2 linked regions of the Lytechinus pictus genome follow. The main gene of each other region encodes a partner of the protein of the gene in region 2 in a complex. Links are inferred from orthologs where the notes say so. Each region holds a gene or a part of one and is shown on either strand. Other genes may lie near its edges. The genes, in order: keratinocyte-associated protein 2-like and oligosaccharyltransferase complex subunit ostc-B-like.

Evidence for each region.
Region 1: oligosaccharyltransferase complex subunit ostc-B-like (region 2) and keratinocyte-associated protein 2-like share a complex: the UniProt entries of both Drosophila melanogaster proteins name them as parts of the oligosaccharyltransferase (OST) complex. The link is inferred for Lytechinus pictus from reciprocal best matches to the Drosophila melanogaster genes CG9662 and CG31460.

The regions. Positions count from the first base shown.
Region 1 is NC_087249.1:30,324,089-30,332,130, reverse strand, and holds the start of keratinocyte-associated protein 2-like, read left to right. Parts: upstream 1-4,924; 5' UTR 4,925-5,147; coding exon 5,148-5,151; intron 5,152-6,559; coding exon 6,560-6,714; intron 6,715-7,845; coding exon 7,846-7,909; intron 7,910-8,042. UniProt on the Drosophila melanogaster protein: Subunit of the oligosaccharyl transferase (OST) complex that catalyzes the initial transfer of a defined glycan (Glc(3)Man(9)GlcNAc(2) in eukaryotes) from the lipid carrier dolichol-pyrophosphate to an asparagine residue within an Asn-X-Ser/Thr consensus motif in nascent polypeptide chains, the first step in protein N-glycosylation.
Region 2 is NC_087246.1:18,765,991-18,774,221, reverse strand, and holds the start of oligosaccharyltransferase complex subunit ostc-B-like, read right to left. Parts: upstream 3,099-8,231; 5' UTR 2,789-3,098; coding exon 2,650-2,788; intron 1,763-2,649; coding exon 1,689-1,762; intron 672-1,688; coding exon 454-671; intron 1-453. UniProt on the Drosophila melanogaster protein: Subunit of the oligosaccharyl transferase (OST) complex that catalyzes the initial transfer of a defined glycan (Glc(3)Man(9)GlcNAc(2) in eukaryotes) from the lipid carrier dolichol-pyrophosphate to an asparagine residue within an Asn-X-Ser/Thr consensus motif in nascent polypeptide chains, the first step in protein N-glycosylation.

The sequences.
Region 1 (8,042 bases), on a different chromosome or scaffold from region 2:
ATATATATATATTTCATAAAATGTTCAGCATAGCAATGGAAAGAGCTGGAAAGCCTAATTGTGAGTCAAAAACCTAACGGACGCCGCGGGTATACACAAAAGCTCAGACCAGCTAGCCGCCCTATATGGTGTATTGACTGTACATTGAGTAAGCTAGGGCATGTGGGTCTGCTCTTTGCTATCTCACAAACTCTCCTCAGTGATTGGTATTGCACTAAGTCTTTTTAACCAATCCTCATGGTTTTCTTTCATGAGTATTTGCCTTACAATATCCCCTTTATTAAAATCCCAACGAAAGTACATGCCGTCCGATGTGACAGATATAGTCCACATGCCCCCAAACCCATCATCCCAATATATATCCCTGACTTCGGATTTTAAGTACCACATTTCTCACTTATTGGATGTAAATGAAATTATGGTCTGCTGATAGAAGAAGATGTTCATTTCCAGGGAACTAAAAATCTACCTGATTCCATCTTATCCTATAGATACACATTAGTTTGTGGAAATAAAAAGGGTATGATGGAAGTGAAATTCAAGAGTGCGCGTGTGCAGTGAAGACCTCTTCTGTCCGTTAGTTTTCCATATCCCTACATTGGCGCGAGGCGGGGCAGCTGCTCGTATATGACGTCACAGATCAAAAACTTCAAAATCTAATCATAACTTCTTAATTTTGATGGATTTTCCTCGAATCTCCACAAATATGTTTTCTGATTTTTTTTTACAATAAATTTTTGTCAGAGTGCCTTGAACGTTCCCACCGTCCAATACAGGAATCCAGTGGCGTACCTAGGATTTTCCAAAGGGGGGGGGGGGCAAATTCGTCCGCCAAAAAAAAAGGTCTTCAACCGCAAGTAAAGGACCTTTCGCACCAGAATAAAATTGACAAGCAAAACAAAATGGTCTTCAAGTTCAAAGGAAGGGCCCACTTAGCTCGTCAGGGATCAGTTTTGACTCGTCGGGGGGGGGGGGGGGGGCAGAGATACGTCCCTTGCATGTGTTGTGACTCGTCAGGAGGGGGCAGTCTGCCCCCCCCCCCTTAGGTACGCTAATGCAGGAATCAAATATGATTTCATGCAGCTTTTCTCGACCATACGTCAATCATTTTTAAACGGCAAAGCCACCCCAGGAAAAACTTGATTTCAATCGATAGAGAAAAATCAAACAAGCATAACGCTGAAAATTTCATCAAAATCGGATGTAAAATATATAAAAAGTGTATGGCATTTCTAAGTTTCGCTTATTCACAAAACAGTTATATGCACAAGTCAGTGATATGTAAATGAGAGAGTTGATGATGTCACTCATTCACTATTTATTTATTTTTTTATTGCTTGAATTATACAATAGTCCTTTATTTTCAATTTTCACAGGATTTACAATACGGACCCCGGGTCTTTGTTGAGCCACAATGTTAAAACAATGGTTCAGGAAGGAATAAAACTTTGTTTCTCATGCAACTGAGGAGAAAATTGAAATATTCCATATTACGTATAACAAAATACCAAAAAAATAGTAGCCTACGTCATCGGTCGGCCAAGCATACCTACCAGGGTGTGCATATAACTTTTGTACTAAGCTAAACTTTGAAATATATAACTTTTATCCGATTTTGATGAGATTTTCTGTGTTATTTTTTTATTTTTCTCCTTTTATTCCAATCAACCTTTTGTTGGTATAGGACTTGTCCTTTAACACACAAGGTCTTCTGAACTTTGTTTTCCGATAGCAGTAAAACCCAGAAAATTAATTTTTTTACTCGTGCAAATGGAAATTTTCAGTGGCTCCACCGTGAATTTACATATTGACGGAGGGGATGCCGCGGAGCCATGCCGAAATCTCAGCGGAGCATATCCCTGGGACAGAAATAAACCTATTAACAGAGGCGTCGATCCTGGGGGGGCAGGGGGGCGATCGCCCCACCAATGAAAATATTGGGGGGGGGGCAAACATATCATTTTGCCCCCCCCCCCCCAATAATTCCGGATATACAAAAAAAAAAAAAAAGATTGTAATGTTCAGCAAGCGAGATTGAGATACACAATTCGTTCTTTATTTAAAATCGTGCTCAAAATGTCTGCTTTTCAGATTGGAATATAAAATTTTTTAGCTCGCGCTTCGCGCTCGCATCATTTCTGTAGTAAAAACCCATACTTTTCATGATTGAATAGGTGAATGTAAATGTCCCATTTTCAGTTTTAAGCTTCAAAAGAACTCCTGCTTCGATTTGCAATCATCTTTTCTTGGATATATATCTTGTTCTTTATCAAAAACTTACATTAAACTGTCATTTTTTTCAGATCGAAATATCAAAATTATATCTGTGTAGTGAGATATGTATCCTCATGAGTTACAAACAGCCCTAAACAGGCACGCTTTTCCTGTCAGTATGCTAAAAAAAAATCAGCTCGCGCTTCGCGCTCGCATTAATTTGTTGATGGTGAGATACGTGTCTGTGTCTCATGAGTCATATATATATATGTGTGTGTGTGTGTGGGTGTGTGTGTGTGTGTGGGGGGGGGGGGTGGATGGGTGTCTTATACGATCGAGCGCCTTTGGAACGTTAATGATTTTGCCCCCCCAATCTGAAAAATGAATCGACGCCCCTGCCTATTAAATATCGGTCTAACTGTTAATCTCTGACCGAAACTGAGACCGAAAAGTGTTCTTTTTTTCCTATTTTCCACAGCATGCACGTTGAGATGGCCAGCATATCTTTTCATTGATTTACATCTCATGAAGCAAACTGATTCAGTGGCAAAAAATTACACTGATTTCCTATAGCTCTGTTTGGGGCAACTGCATGTCCATGCAGCGGCCTACAAATTGCCCCTAAATAGATTGCAAAAAAAAGCTGCTAGATATGTATCTGGAATTTCTGACTATCAAATTGCGAGCGGGAATACATTCATAAATGAACTCTCCTGGCAAACTATATTGACCAACGTCGGGATTATTTTCTGGATATTCTCATATGCAGGCCTACAAGTGTATAGGGGGCGTCGCCCCTCCCTGCTTATCAAATGAAATTGAAATGTATTTCGATCACCATGGCATGAACACTAGTAATGCAAACTTACTAAATGCAGTATTACCAAAACCTAACATATTTATGATATGCCGGAACAGTCATGTAACTTGGAATAAACTCCCGGAAGAGTCCATAATGCCATTTCTGTTGCATGAATATCATTATAAGAAATTTCGCTTAGATCAATAAGAATTTTTAAACTGTTTTATTTTGGTTCATATATACTTATAGTATTGTTATTATTAGCATGATTACCCAAGAATACACATCTAACGTTAATTATCGATTATTATGATTTCCTATAAGTATTAATATTGATACAATTCATTAAATTGAGGCCTATTCCCTTTTTAACGTGATTTCATATCGGTGTATAAAACCTCTATCTTTTCCCTTCATCACTTCTTTATCTTGTTGGGACGGATCTGAGTATTTATGAATTTGGTGGAGAAAATGTTATGTTTCTCTTTAAAAACAAAGATAAATCAAACACACCAATCAATCAGACTAGGAAAAAAATAGGGGAAAAAACTAAACAAGCAACAACAAGCACGGCGACTCAAACACCCCAACTTTTTAGCTAAACGTGATCATTCAAGAAAAATAAGCACTTGACAAAATAATTACAGTTCGATGACTTCGATTTATAATGAAAATGATTCGAATGTTTTCTTTGACAAATTTACAAAGTGTTTACAACTCAAAGAAATGCCTGTATGATATATCCAATAATGAAGACAGTAAATAAAGTAATGTCGAATATTCAAAGGAATTATAACAGAGCAATTGATTATGTAATAAAATAGGATATAAACTCCAAAATAGGCCAAAGCGTTGAGAAGTTGACAGTTCGATCTACTTTGCGAATTGAGTTGTTCGACCTGAACTTGGAATGGTGAAATACGTAGCTAGGCCTGCCGTATACAACGGAGAGTGGAAAACCGGTCTTGATGAATCATCGATCGATGTCATGCAGGACAAAAACTCGTCTATGGTGAGGGTCTCAGTGGAACCCGATAAATATCAGGAAAAAGAAGTAAAAAGTCAGCTAAAACAGGAGTCCATTTCTCCTTTACAAAATGAAGAGCCCATACAGCATCAGTGTGGTATACGCTGTTGGGAAGCTAAGCCGACGATCTCGGGGAGATATTGGTTCAAATCCCCATAGAAAAAGATGTAACCAAAATTAAACACCGACGGCTCTGCTGAAGTATCAGCAACCGGGTTTTTTGTGAGAGTCCCCGTTTAATTAAGAACGCACGAAACCGCCCTTACAGGGCGAGATCTAATTGGTCATTTTTCGTAACCAGGAAAAACATTATTTACATATTATTACTAAGTCCGTGTCTCTTAGGGTTCAACACGTATTGGGAATGCTTTCTTTTGAAATTCACCTGCTGTTCCGGAAATACTGTCTTTAATAATGACAGGTGGAAATTTCTTTGCGTCCAACTAAAAAAATCCAAATTGCATTTGATTCTTTTTTTTTTACACGTATCACATAAAAGTGCTTTTGATTCTTGTTTTACACAGTATCACATAAAAGTGCTTTTGATTCTTGTTTTACGCAGTATCACATAAAAGTATTTCAGGCTTCTTTGATATCCTAAAATAAACTCAGAAATTGTCACTACAATCTTATTATGAGATAAATTTTGCTATTTGTTCATTTTTCATTCTGATGTTTCACTTTCTTAATATGTGTATTTCTCTCCTTATGCAGGACCATTATGTGAAACAGCCTGCGAGCTGAGTAATGTTTTATCATGTTGAAAGTTGTTTGAATAAATAAATAAATAGCTTCTTTTTTGGGACGCACTGTATCTCTATGGTATCCGAGCATAAGGGGGGGGGGTGGAAATCTACACGTAGTCTTAAGTCCTGATAAATGATTTTATTACTATCAATTACATTAACAAAGTAATCCATTATAGGCAATGATTTCATAACATAATCAATAAAAAACTTCATTACCGAATCATGATGTCTTATTAATCACGATAATCGTCATTATTATTAACCTTTTCAATAATAAGATTTAAAAGAAAATATCTAATTTGTCTGAAATATTTCTGACCAGTAGTGCCGACGTGGAAGAACTGCGACTTCAAATATGGGTAATTCTTATATTATCTTAACGTTAATCGTCACTTAAATGGAGAAAATCCGTCAGTATTGCAATATATTTTGATATTGAAGCGTTTGTGAGGCATGAGAGTGGGAAAAATGCGTTTTGAAGTAATTAGAGTTGTTGTATATAATCTCAACTTTTTTTGTAGTGGTCCCGCGCCCTGGTTTCCGTGTGTGTTATATTGGGGTAAAACAATGTCAATGCATTGAGGCGGGGGGGTCTCGATGCCGGCGTGTCTGGAGTCCGGACACTTAGATTTTTTAAATCAATCATCTTTTGCTCCAGAACTTTTTGGCAACAAATAGCCAAATAATTGTAAACATTATCATGTGGATGTGCTTTCCTTTGTATTTTTTTGTAACTCACTAACCCAGGCCAGGGTCGGGAGCTCTGGCCCGCTTCGCCTTCGCGGGCCGGAGCCCAGCCCCAGGACTCGACTCGTCCGTGTAAACTAATACTAGGCAGACATGGGTACTCTCCAAAATGGGGTAGAATGGGGTCGCAATAGCCCTCCAAATAAAAGGGGAAAAAATAAATTATGCACTTACCTGGATTATATGGATGACATGAAGGTCTATCGTCACACAGAATCCTGACATCGAGACACAAACCGGATCCTCAAAAATGGAAAAGTTAGACCTCCATGTCGCGTTCATTCTCGGTATCGATCGGCCATTTTGTTTTCAATTTTGAGAGAAGGAGAACAAACGAGACAGAACTTTTCCTCATTTAAGTATTTTTGTTGTCATCCACACACAAAATAAATGGGCTTCTGCGCCTCTACGGCCTACTCTCCCTGTTTTGATCCTCCGCTCTTCGGAGATTAGTGACAAATCGCGGTCAAGAGCATTGATGTCTTGAGCATTTACTGCCAGGATTAAATCTAGCCCACTTGAAGAGTACAGGTGATGGGCATGAATTTTATATATATAGTGAAGTGTCATTTTCAGGATGGAATCATTAACAGTATGAGGAAGGGAATTGCGCAAGGCAATTCAAAGGGATCGTGGGTATTGAGTAGGGTAATTTTTGAAGAGGATTGAAGATTTCGTTTTTAAATAGAAACTTGATTCGGTTTAGAGAATATTAAGAAAAAGATAAATCAACCAGTGCACTCTGATATAAAATCTGTCATGTAAATTGTAGAAAATATGTTCTTGTTTAGAATTTGTTTGGAAATTACTTGAAATATAGATTTTTATAACATCCTGGTTTTTAAATTATTTTTGCAAGAAATAGGATCAGGAAGCCTTTCACCATGGCATACATGTATGACCAATTTTATGGCCCTGATTATTGTAAATTTTAAAAAGTGCTGATTGCTACCCCCTTCATTATTTTTTATCTGACATTATAGATTGTTCAAACATCAATTTGTGACTTGTTCCTTTCAGCTGTCAGTAGTGGAGTATCGGCTCTTTTGTCTGCTATCCTAGCAGTAGCCCTGTTTGCTGGTATGCAGACATACCGCACCCAACTCGCAGATTCAGAATGGCTGACAATATTTGGTGGATTCCTTGGAGCTGACCTATTCATCTTGATCCTCACTGTATCCTTTGCAAACTTTCAATTGTGTTCAATGTTGTGCTGATCTTACGGGAATCCTAAAGGGTGCTTCTCTATGCTGAAAGGAATTTTCTTAATTGAAAGGAGCATATTTTATTTCTTTTTCTTTAATTTAGTTTAAAACCATCTACCAAAATGTTGCAAAATAGTTGCATTGCCAAGCAATAACCTAAAAATATTGTATAATTTCAGCCTAATTTAGTATCTCTGCAGTGTTCCAGTTTGAACAAGAATTGGTCACTTGATGTGATTGTGTTTTCATCATTTCATGCAATTTTTAGCATCATGTGTGCTGAGTGTAGTTAATTTTGCACAGTGCATCATGCACATCAACTGCAACAAGCAAAGCAGGGGAGAAACCATGTTTACATCATTTCGAAACTAGATGTTTCAATGATGGGTCATTTGTCTAAAATATTTGTGATTAAATATTATAAATCCCTGATAGTTCTTGGGTTCCTCAAAGTCTTCTAGGCCAGCAATTTTTGCTGCTTTCATAATTTTTTTTTATCATTGGTCAATGAATGGGAAGTAGGAGGCAAGATAGAACAATTGATATCACAGGCACCCTCACGTTAATACATGTAGCCCCCTTCATATTAAGCTATGAGCCATGCCATGTCAACTCTACTTCATTTAAACAAAATTGCATAGATTTGTTAGCCATGTAATGTATACTATTACTATGGTGTTATCCTTAAAGAGAAATGCCAGTAGTTGCAGTAAACATTGATTTCATGAGAAAGTCTGTAAAACCAGGCTTAATTGTCAGTATACCATCGAGGATCTAGATCTGGTACAGTTACATAAACTGAACTTTGTGAAATCTTGAAATCTACGCTGAAAATATTCACACTGAAGATCCCCAACACAGATAGGCACACGTGGGACAGTGTATTATTATTGCTGGAATAAAGACCCGACGGAAGTGACCGAATCCGCGCTTATTTTGCTTATTTCTCAGCAATTACACAATTTCGACCAGAATCCTTTGGCACATATTTTTTATTCATCCAAACAGACACTTGGGTGGTCATTATATTAGATTCTGTAAAAAGTCATTTTGAGATCGTTACCAAAACTGGAATTTATCTTTAACTGCTAAAATCTGCAGTGCATTAGTAACATTGAAACTATGCTCTTTGGTAAAGGATTTCAGGCGAAACTCATTCCAGAAGGTATGTATCACTGAAAGTCAATCTTCATCTGCTTTTGTTAATTTGCAATACATGTAAAGCATTGGTTCTTTTCTGTGTTCTTTGGATATGCAAGGATGAATTTACACTTATTACTTTTATTACAACTTTTTTT
Region 2 (8,231 bases):
AAATCAAAGGATTTTTCGAAAGTTACTTCCTTTTACCACTTCAGAATAGTGTTTTCTCTCAAGTAAAAAAAAAAAGTCATTGGTTCACCCATTCCAGGTGACTCCAGGTCCAAGGTTGAATAAACCCAAGGACATGGCCATAGATGCCCTGTGGACTGGCCGTAATGCTCCTCCATTGGTCTTGGAGATTTGTTGGGCACTTTTATTTCATTTATTTCTTTTCTATTTGTGCTGTAATATTTAAATGCTTAAATATTCGCCCTAAAAATTTTCGGAATTTAAGGCCTATGACTTGTAAACGTAACAACTCCGCAAACTCTGAGTGCAGACCTAGCCATATTTTCTTTTTCAAATCATATTAACATCATAATATGATTGGATTTACATCAAAATTTTATATAGTGTATTTCTATAAATCTACCATAAATATTTTTCTAAAATCAAAATACTTACGGAAGCTTCATTCGCATGAATACTCTACACATGAAGAAAGATATGAGGATACAGATGAAGCCCACTAGAAGAAGAAGAAAACGGTTGAGTTTGGGCATCACAGTTGAGTTAGATTTATCGAGAACGACAAAGCCTAACCCTCCGATGGTAAAGAGAAAACTAGACGCCAAGCCCTCCATGATGTACTGTCCATTCACCCTGTATGGCATGAAGGCAACCTACAAAGGACAGGAATACAAATTAATAATAATAATCGATCACTAGCATATCCAGCATCAGCTATGACAAAGAAATGTATGGGTCCATGCACAAACATAATAGAATCACTATTGTCCCCAGACAACTGGGCGGGCCCATAAAATGCTTTGTAGGATCTGATGCTGGATACGTGCCTGATAATATGCAACATTCGTATCGTACTTTGACTTTACACAATATAGTACCGAGTACTATTACCCTGGCCTGAGCATGGCTACAATGATCAGGTGCTTGAGCAATGATCATTCAAGTAATTCCATCCTACCAGGTACCAGGTACCCATTTAATACACCTGGATGGTGAATGGCAAATGTAGATAAAAATTAGCTAAAGGACTTGAGTGTTGCAGGACTTTATATCACGGACGTGAGACGTCCCTGTTAAAATACAGAGACTTATCCACTGAGCCACATTCAAGTTTACAAATTTCTGTGATGATGAAACTTTCTGCATTTAATGTAAATGGGAAGTTCTAATTGAATTAGGCTAAGTGAAATTAAATAAGGTAGAATTTGGCTTAACGTTTAGAAATTATTTCCTTAAATGACAGAAAGACTAAACTTTTTGTTTTCTTTTAATCTAATAAATAACAAGTTATATAAAATGTGAGTAGACGCCTTTTCAAAAGTATGGGCCATATCTTTTAGTAGGAATTAGGAATCTTGCAGAGTGTCTTACAGATTGGCATTCATCATTTCCCCCAAAGTCATGTCCATGATGAAATGTGACCTATAGGTATGAAGAGACACTAACAAGATTCCTGCTAAAAGACATATTCAGACATAATCAAACTCCCTTTGATAATAATTATAACTCTTCCTTGTTAATTTACTGTCAATGTTCTTTTTAAAAAAAATCACATCTTTGAATTCCATTTTCTTTTTAGAATTGATTGTCTCACCAGTAAGAATCTAAATTCATCTAAATTCATTTAAATCACAATTAATGCTCAATTTAAAAGATACAAGATGACATACTGGTTTTTGATGTCCATTTTCATCTGTTGTAGATCCCACACTTGGAGGCTCAACAATAACATCATAGATTACACCTGCAAAGTGTTGAGAAAATAAAAATCACAATACATGAGGCAATGGTGAAATATCCTTAGAAAACTAAAACCAACTACAGTCACAGACCCTTCTCAGTTTTGCCCCCAAGCTTTGAATAATTTCCCCCATTAACAATGACATGTGAAGCACTATCGTTGAACTTTAAGCCCCTCCTAAAATCTGACTGTTGATAGTTTCAGTTTTAAGAGTTACTGATCTTATCAATATCAATTGAATTGATATACATATCGACCCTCTAAGTACATATTTCTTGATTTTATTTCTGTACTTCTAAATGAAGTCATGCAAGTAGACACTAAATGATGTCTTGACATTTTTTTTTTATATCCCCAACTTAAGATCTATTCACATAATTCTTAGGCAGCTCTTTGAAACATATTAAAAGCACTTTATCAATCTTGATTAGAGGGGCTATTTATCTTTCTAGTATTTTTAGTAAGACTCTCAGACTCTACTGTCTGAATTATACTATAGTATAGATTCCCCAACATAGATCTAAGTTACGTGCGTGCATCCATGACCATGACAGTTACTTTAAGTTTAATTTGAATTTGTTACTTAGTTTGGCCTTTGGGTGTGTCTTGTCTCAGACCGTACCGTTCAGCGAATACCGAAGTTTGGCTGCATATGAAATAAGTATGAACGTTTATACAGTATTAATAGGCAGGAGGTGAGGGTTAACAAGCAGGGAAAAACAAAACAAAAGCATGAAAGTAAAAGTTCAAAAGCTGTGAGTGTGACGCTCGGCCGCGGCTGCGTCATCGCGTCGCTTGAGTGTATCTCTGCGGAGTTCATACCCGACCGACCCGGGGTATCGTTCATCGACATATCGTGGCCTGAACAACTTAACTTGGCTCACACTTACCTCCCGTCACTAAGAAGTATGATGCTAAAACAACGAAGTAAACTGTCATTGCAGAAGGTGCATGAAGCCATGATGGTTTTTTCAGTTTTAAATGTGGGCATTCCAAAACAGAAAAGGGCAATGCATAAAGTCGTTCCATTTTAAAGAGATATTCTGTGGCCAATAGTCACGTTAAGACAAAATTCAACAGCCACGTCCTCACGATATATAGGTATCGCATTATAGACTTCGATTCAGACGTCGATTGAGCATTTATTTGAGCTTGAGCTGCTATATAGCTATCCGGATGTAGATCTAGATCGTCCCTGGGGACGGTGGGGACGTCGCCACTAACTGTTTGTATTCGTGCCAGCCTGCCACATTAGATAGAGATGTGTTGTTTTACTATCCCCATCGATTGAAGAAAAATATAATAGAGAGGAGCTAACAATATACAAATCATTTTCAATAGAATACAACTCAGTCTGGGGGAGGGGCAGTGCGGTGGTGCGTCAAGGTGCGAGTATATTTCCAAGTTTTTCCTTTCATTGTAATAATGCATCAAATAATTAATTTTCATGAAATGATTAAAAGTAGGCGACACATGTAGGCCCTACACACATACGCTTAGATTCTTGACTCTAAATTGTGTAATGTCGGCCCCATTGGCGGCGGAAGCCAAAAAATTTAGGGGGGCCGGGTGGGGGGTCCACCTGAAATTTAGGGATGGACACAGGTAAAAAATTGGACAAGCAAAAAAAAGGTTATCAACCAAAATTTTAGGGGGTCCACCTGAATTTAGGGGGGACGCAGAAAAGAAAATTGACAAGCAAAAAAAAAAAGGTTATCAACCGAAATTTTAGGGGGGTCCGTCCCCCCACCTCAAATTTAGGGGGTACAGGACCGCCCGTCCCCCGGGCCCCCCGCTTCCACCGCCTTTGGCCGACCCCCGCCCCCCCCCCCCCACCACCATGGTTCAGGCATGTCCCCATATTTCGGGGGCCCTTTTTCAGCTTAAAAGGGGTACCAAGAAATTGCTCCATATCTTCCATTTGGGGGAATCTGGATCCCTGAGTTAACTTAATGTGCCAAGTTCCTGATGGCCGGGAATGAGTGTATTTTACATCAGTAGACAGTGGCATAATGAGCAAAAAAATTGAGGGGATCAATATGGCGTATCGCTGGAAATTGATAAGAAATTGAAAATCATTGACCATTTTTACAAAAATCAAATTTTGTGATAGATTTTGACATCATTACCCTTATCCTTTTCCTTTTCTCTTTTTATTCTCGGTCGTGAAAATTGGGGGATGCAAGACCCCCCCCCCCCCCTCCCCATCTGTTCGCCCATGGAGCCTAGCTATAGGAGCTAGAGGGAAATAATTCCTGAAAATCATTGAAATAGGGGGTCTTTTACCATAAGTCCAGAAATACTTTAATTTTGGGGTAGTGCAAATGACTCCCAAATCAAATCCACAAAAGGCACTATAGCCGATCTGTCAGTGGCAGTTAGCCAAATTTGGGGGCGGACACTTACAATAGAAAAATAAATATGTAGACCCTTACCAAATAAACTAAAATTTTGGTAGAACATTTCAATAATCCTATTTTGTCAGATTTGTATAAGTCTGCATTTTAATTGATATACCACAAGTGGATTAGAATCATGTGGTACAAGCCAGCAGAAGCCTATAGTGCCTCGCTTTTTCCAAATGGTATAAATTTGAAATAGATCATATCAGGGGCAGAGAGGCTGACTGGGGGACCGGGGTGTATTGTGGTCAGGGATCGATCTCGAGTCAGTAAAAAATTCTGCACGGCAAGTTAAAACCAATCAGAGTCTGTGCTTATAGACTACAGATGCGACGAAGAAACTATAAGATCAAAGATGGACTACTCTCCCAAGTGTATACAACCTCGATGGTAGTACAACTTAAACTCCCTCAGAAGGCCGTGCTCCTGCACTGAGATCAGTGTCCAGTCCTTCTGTAGAAATGTAAGTCCTATATACACTTTTAAAAACAAATCAGTCTGACTAGTTAATAGGGTCAGCTGGGTGCAACTGTTATTCTAGTCATATTTAACAAGACCCACCCCCAAAAAAGAAAAAAAATCAGAAAACCTATAAAAAAAACCTCCTCTGACACAATGGATATCAGTCTACAACTAGGCCTAATATGCGATTCTAGAACTTATATGTTTTGCGGCTCCTCACGAGCAATTTAAGTATAATATAATAAAATAGAAGCATATACGACGCCACAATTAAACCCCTAGAAACTGATAATAATGAAATAGTAATAACAAAACCGCAGAAAGAACTATTTGCATGGACCATCACCCAGGGGCCATCAATATTTGAAGGAAAATTCCAGGAATTCATACTCTTCCTTTTTTTTTAGTGGAAGTAGACCTATATCTCAGGTGCGGCGGAGCGTAGCTGAAATGGGGACACGTGCAGGGGAAAAGGGCACCTTTTCTTTCAAAAAGGTCACTATCTTAAACATGGCCGTATGCAGAAATTTTTGGTGAGGGGCAGCACGTGTAAACTTTTTGGAAAAAAATCAAAAGCGAGGGAGCGAAGCGACCGAGCTAATCATTAAGGCCCTTTTGCATTTTGTTAAGTGAAATTGATGGATTTTGTACATACTTTTGGTGAATTTTGTAAAAATCTGCAGTTAAAAAAGATTAAGTTTTCGGGGGGGGTGGGGGGCTGCCCACTGCCATGAGACAAAGCATTGGAGGGCACAGCATTGTTCACAAAGAATACAGTGCCCCTCCAATCATTAATCTCCTTCGGGTCACAGTCTGCCACTGTTTGAAATACCTATCCTGTTCATGATTAGAAAAGTGCTTAGAATGTCCCGTTTTTAGGTCTGAAATCTCTTTTTTTTTCCGTTCGCTCTTCGCGCTCGCATCAATTTGTATAGTTATATACCTATCCTGTTCATGGTTACAAAAAGTGCTTAGAATGTCCAGTTTTTAGGTCGCCGAATGTCAACATTTTCAGCTCGCGCTTCGCGCACGCATTATTTGATTGTTAAAATATGTATCGTCTTTATGGGTAAGTGCAAACAGTCCTTATTACCGATCCCTTTTCGATCTGGCCAGAACGTATATATCAAAGATATCTTCTCGCGCTGATCGCACTCGCAGTAATTATTTGTTAGGGCACTTAAGGACGTTCCACAGTTAAAGTGAAATCCATGTCATTTTCACCAAACTTTGCACATAAATACTTTAAAACCTGAATATTCGAAATATGCAAAAATTAACATATGTCCATGTGCTTGATTTTTTGCTATAGAGCTTCAAAGTTCACCTAAATGGATGTTCTTAAGAATTGCGCATTCAAAAGAATTTGGCATTTTTAGACCTCGCAATATCACTGCAATGAGTTTAAACCTATATTACTCAGTCAAGATACATGAAAAAGTCATCAAATTTTTCAAGAGAGTTAATCGTTGTATTGTTAGAATGGAGAATCTATTTATACTGCTATTTGTTTGCAATTTTAAGTCTAACAGCACTGTCAGTTCTTAAAAATGGCGTAAGAGATAACAAAAACCCAATCTCAAAAATGTGAAATTTCAATAAAAAACTACAAAAGTACAAAAAATGCTGCACTTTATTCAAAATCCATGTCATTTTCACCAAAATTTGCAAAGTTGTAGAGGAAGGTATACATAAGAGGTGCAAACATTAAAAAATAGGGGTTCATGTGCTCGTTTTCAAACTATCAGTATTTTTATTAGAGAAAATGTGCTTTCTAAACACCAAAAATGTGCCAAATGCTTTGTATCTATGTGAAGACAAAAAACAAAACCACTCTACCATTTATTCAAACTCGGGGTCATAATCGTGATTCTTGGCAGCATTGCAGAGTAAAGTATGTCAAAATTGTAGACATATTTTTTAAAATGGTCCATGGAATAATTCCAGTTTTTTAGCTTCATAAAATAACGCATCGGATCTGTAGTTAGCATGAAGATGATGAGAAAAATCAGCTCATAACCACAGCTAATTAATCGCCTGTTCATTGACGTTCCACAGTTAAAGTGAAATCCATGTCATTTTCACCAAACTTTGCACATAGATACTTCAGAACCTTAATATTCGAAATATGCAAAAATTAACTTAGGTCCATGTGCTTTATTTTTTGCTATAGAGCTTCAAAGTTCACCCAAATTGATGTTCTTAAGAATTGCGCATTCAAAAGAATTTGGCATTTTTAGACCGCCCAAGATTACTACAATGAGTTTAAACCTCTATTACTCAGTCAAAATACATGAAAAAGTCATCACATTTCGCAATAGAGTTAATAATTGTATCGTTAGAATTGAGAATCTATTTATAGTGCTATTTGTTAGCAATTATAAGTTTAACAGCACTGTCAGTTCATAAAAATGGCGTAAAAGATAACAAAATACCAATCTAAATAATGTAACATTTCAGTAACAAACTACAAACGTACAATAAATGCTGCACTTTATTCAAAATCCATGTCATTTTTACCAGAATTTGCAGGGTTGTAGAGGAAGGTATACCTAAGAGGTACAAACATTAAAAAATAGGGGTTCATGTGCTTGTTTTTAAACTATCAGCATTTTTATTAGAGCAAATGTGCTTTTTAAAACACCAAAAATGCACCGAATGCTTTGTATCTATGTGAAGTAAAAATCAAAACCACTCTACCATTTATTCAAACTCGGGGTAATATTCGTGATTCTTGGCAGTTCTTACGAGAAAAGTATTTTGAAATTGTAGAGAATTTTATTTTGAATGGCCCATGGAATACTTCAATTTTTTAGCTTCATGAAATAACGCATCGGATCTGCAGTTAAAGTGCAGAAGATGAGAAAAATCAGCTCATACCCGCAGCTAATTAATCACCTCTTCATCCATTGTGACGTCAGCGCGCAGAGTGTAAACTATGCGCAGATCATAATGCGCACAAACATAACTGTGGAACGTCCTTAACTGCATGGATAAATAATTTTTACAACTATGATTTATTTATGCACGTCATAGATCCTTTCAAGTTTGAGCTGCTATTGAAAACTATGAGATAAATTTTCCCCGTCATTTCACTCTTTCACTTTTAAGTTCCGCCCCCCCCCCCCTCCTCTCTCTTCGTACCATCGTACCCTTTCCCCTGTGTAGGCCAAGTTGGATGACTTTAAATTCTTTCTCTTTTTTTTCACCGTAGAATACGTCCGGGATGCGTTTTTTTTTTCATCATCTTCTTCTTCTTCCTTTTTTTTTTACCTTCTTCATTTTGTGCCCAAGTAATGTATACGATGACCAGGGTCGTTTGCATTTTTTTCTTTTATACACTAACAGGTTCAAAAGGCAAGACCGTGGACCCTGAGAAAAAGATAATTAAACAGGGAAAAATCAAACTCAAGCATGATGCTAAGGTTCATAACAATTGGATGTTAGTTTATTAACCTTCTAAATAAATGAGACTGTCGATACCGTCCCTCCCTCATGCACTATTTCTTCTGACTGTGTTAAAATTACACTTTTTGCAGATCATTTGACATCAGAACAACATTTGCGATTGTATCTCTGTTTCGTATAATGGTCCAGCACAACATGTA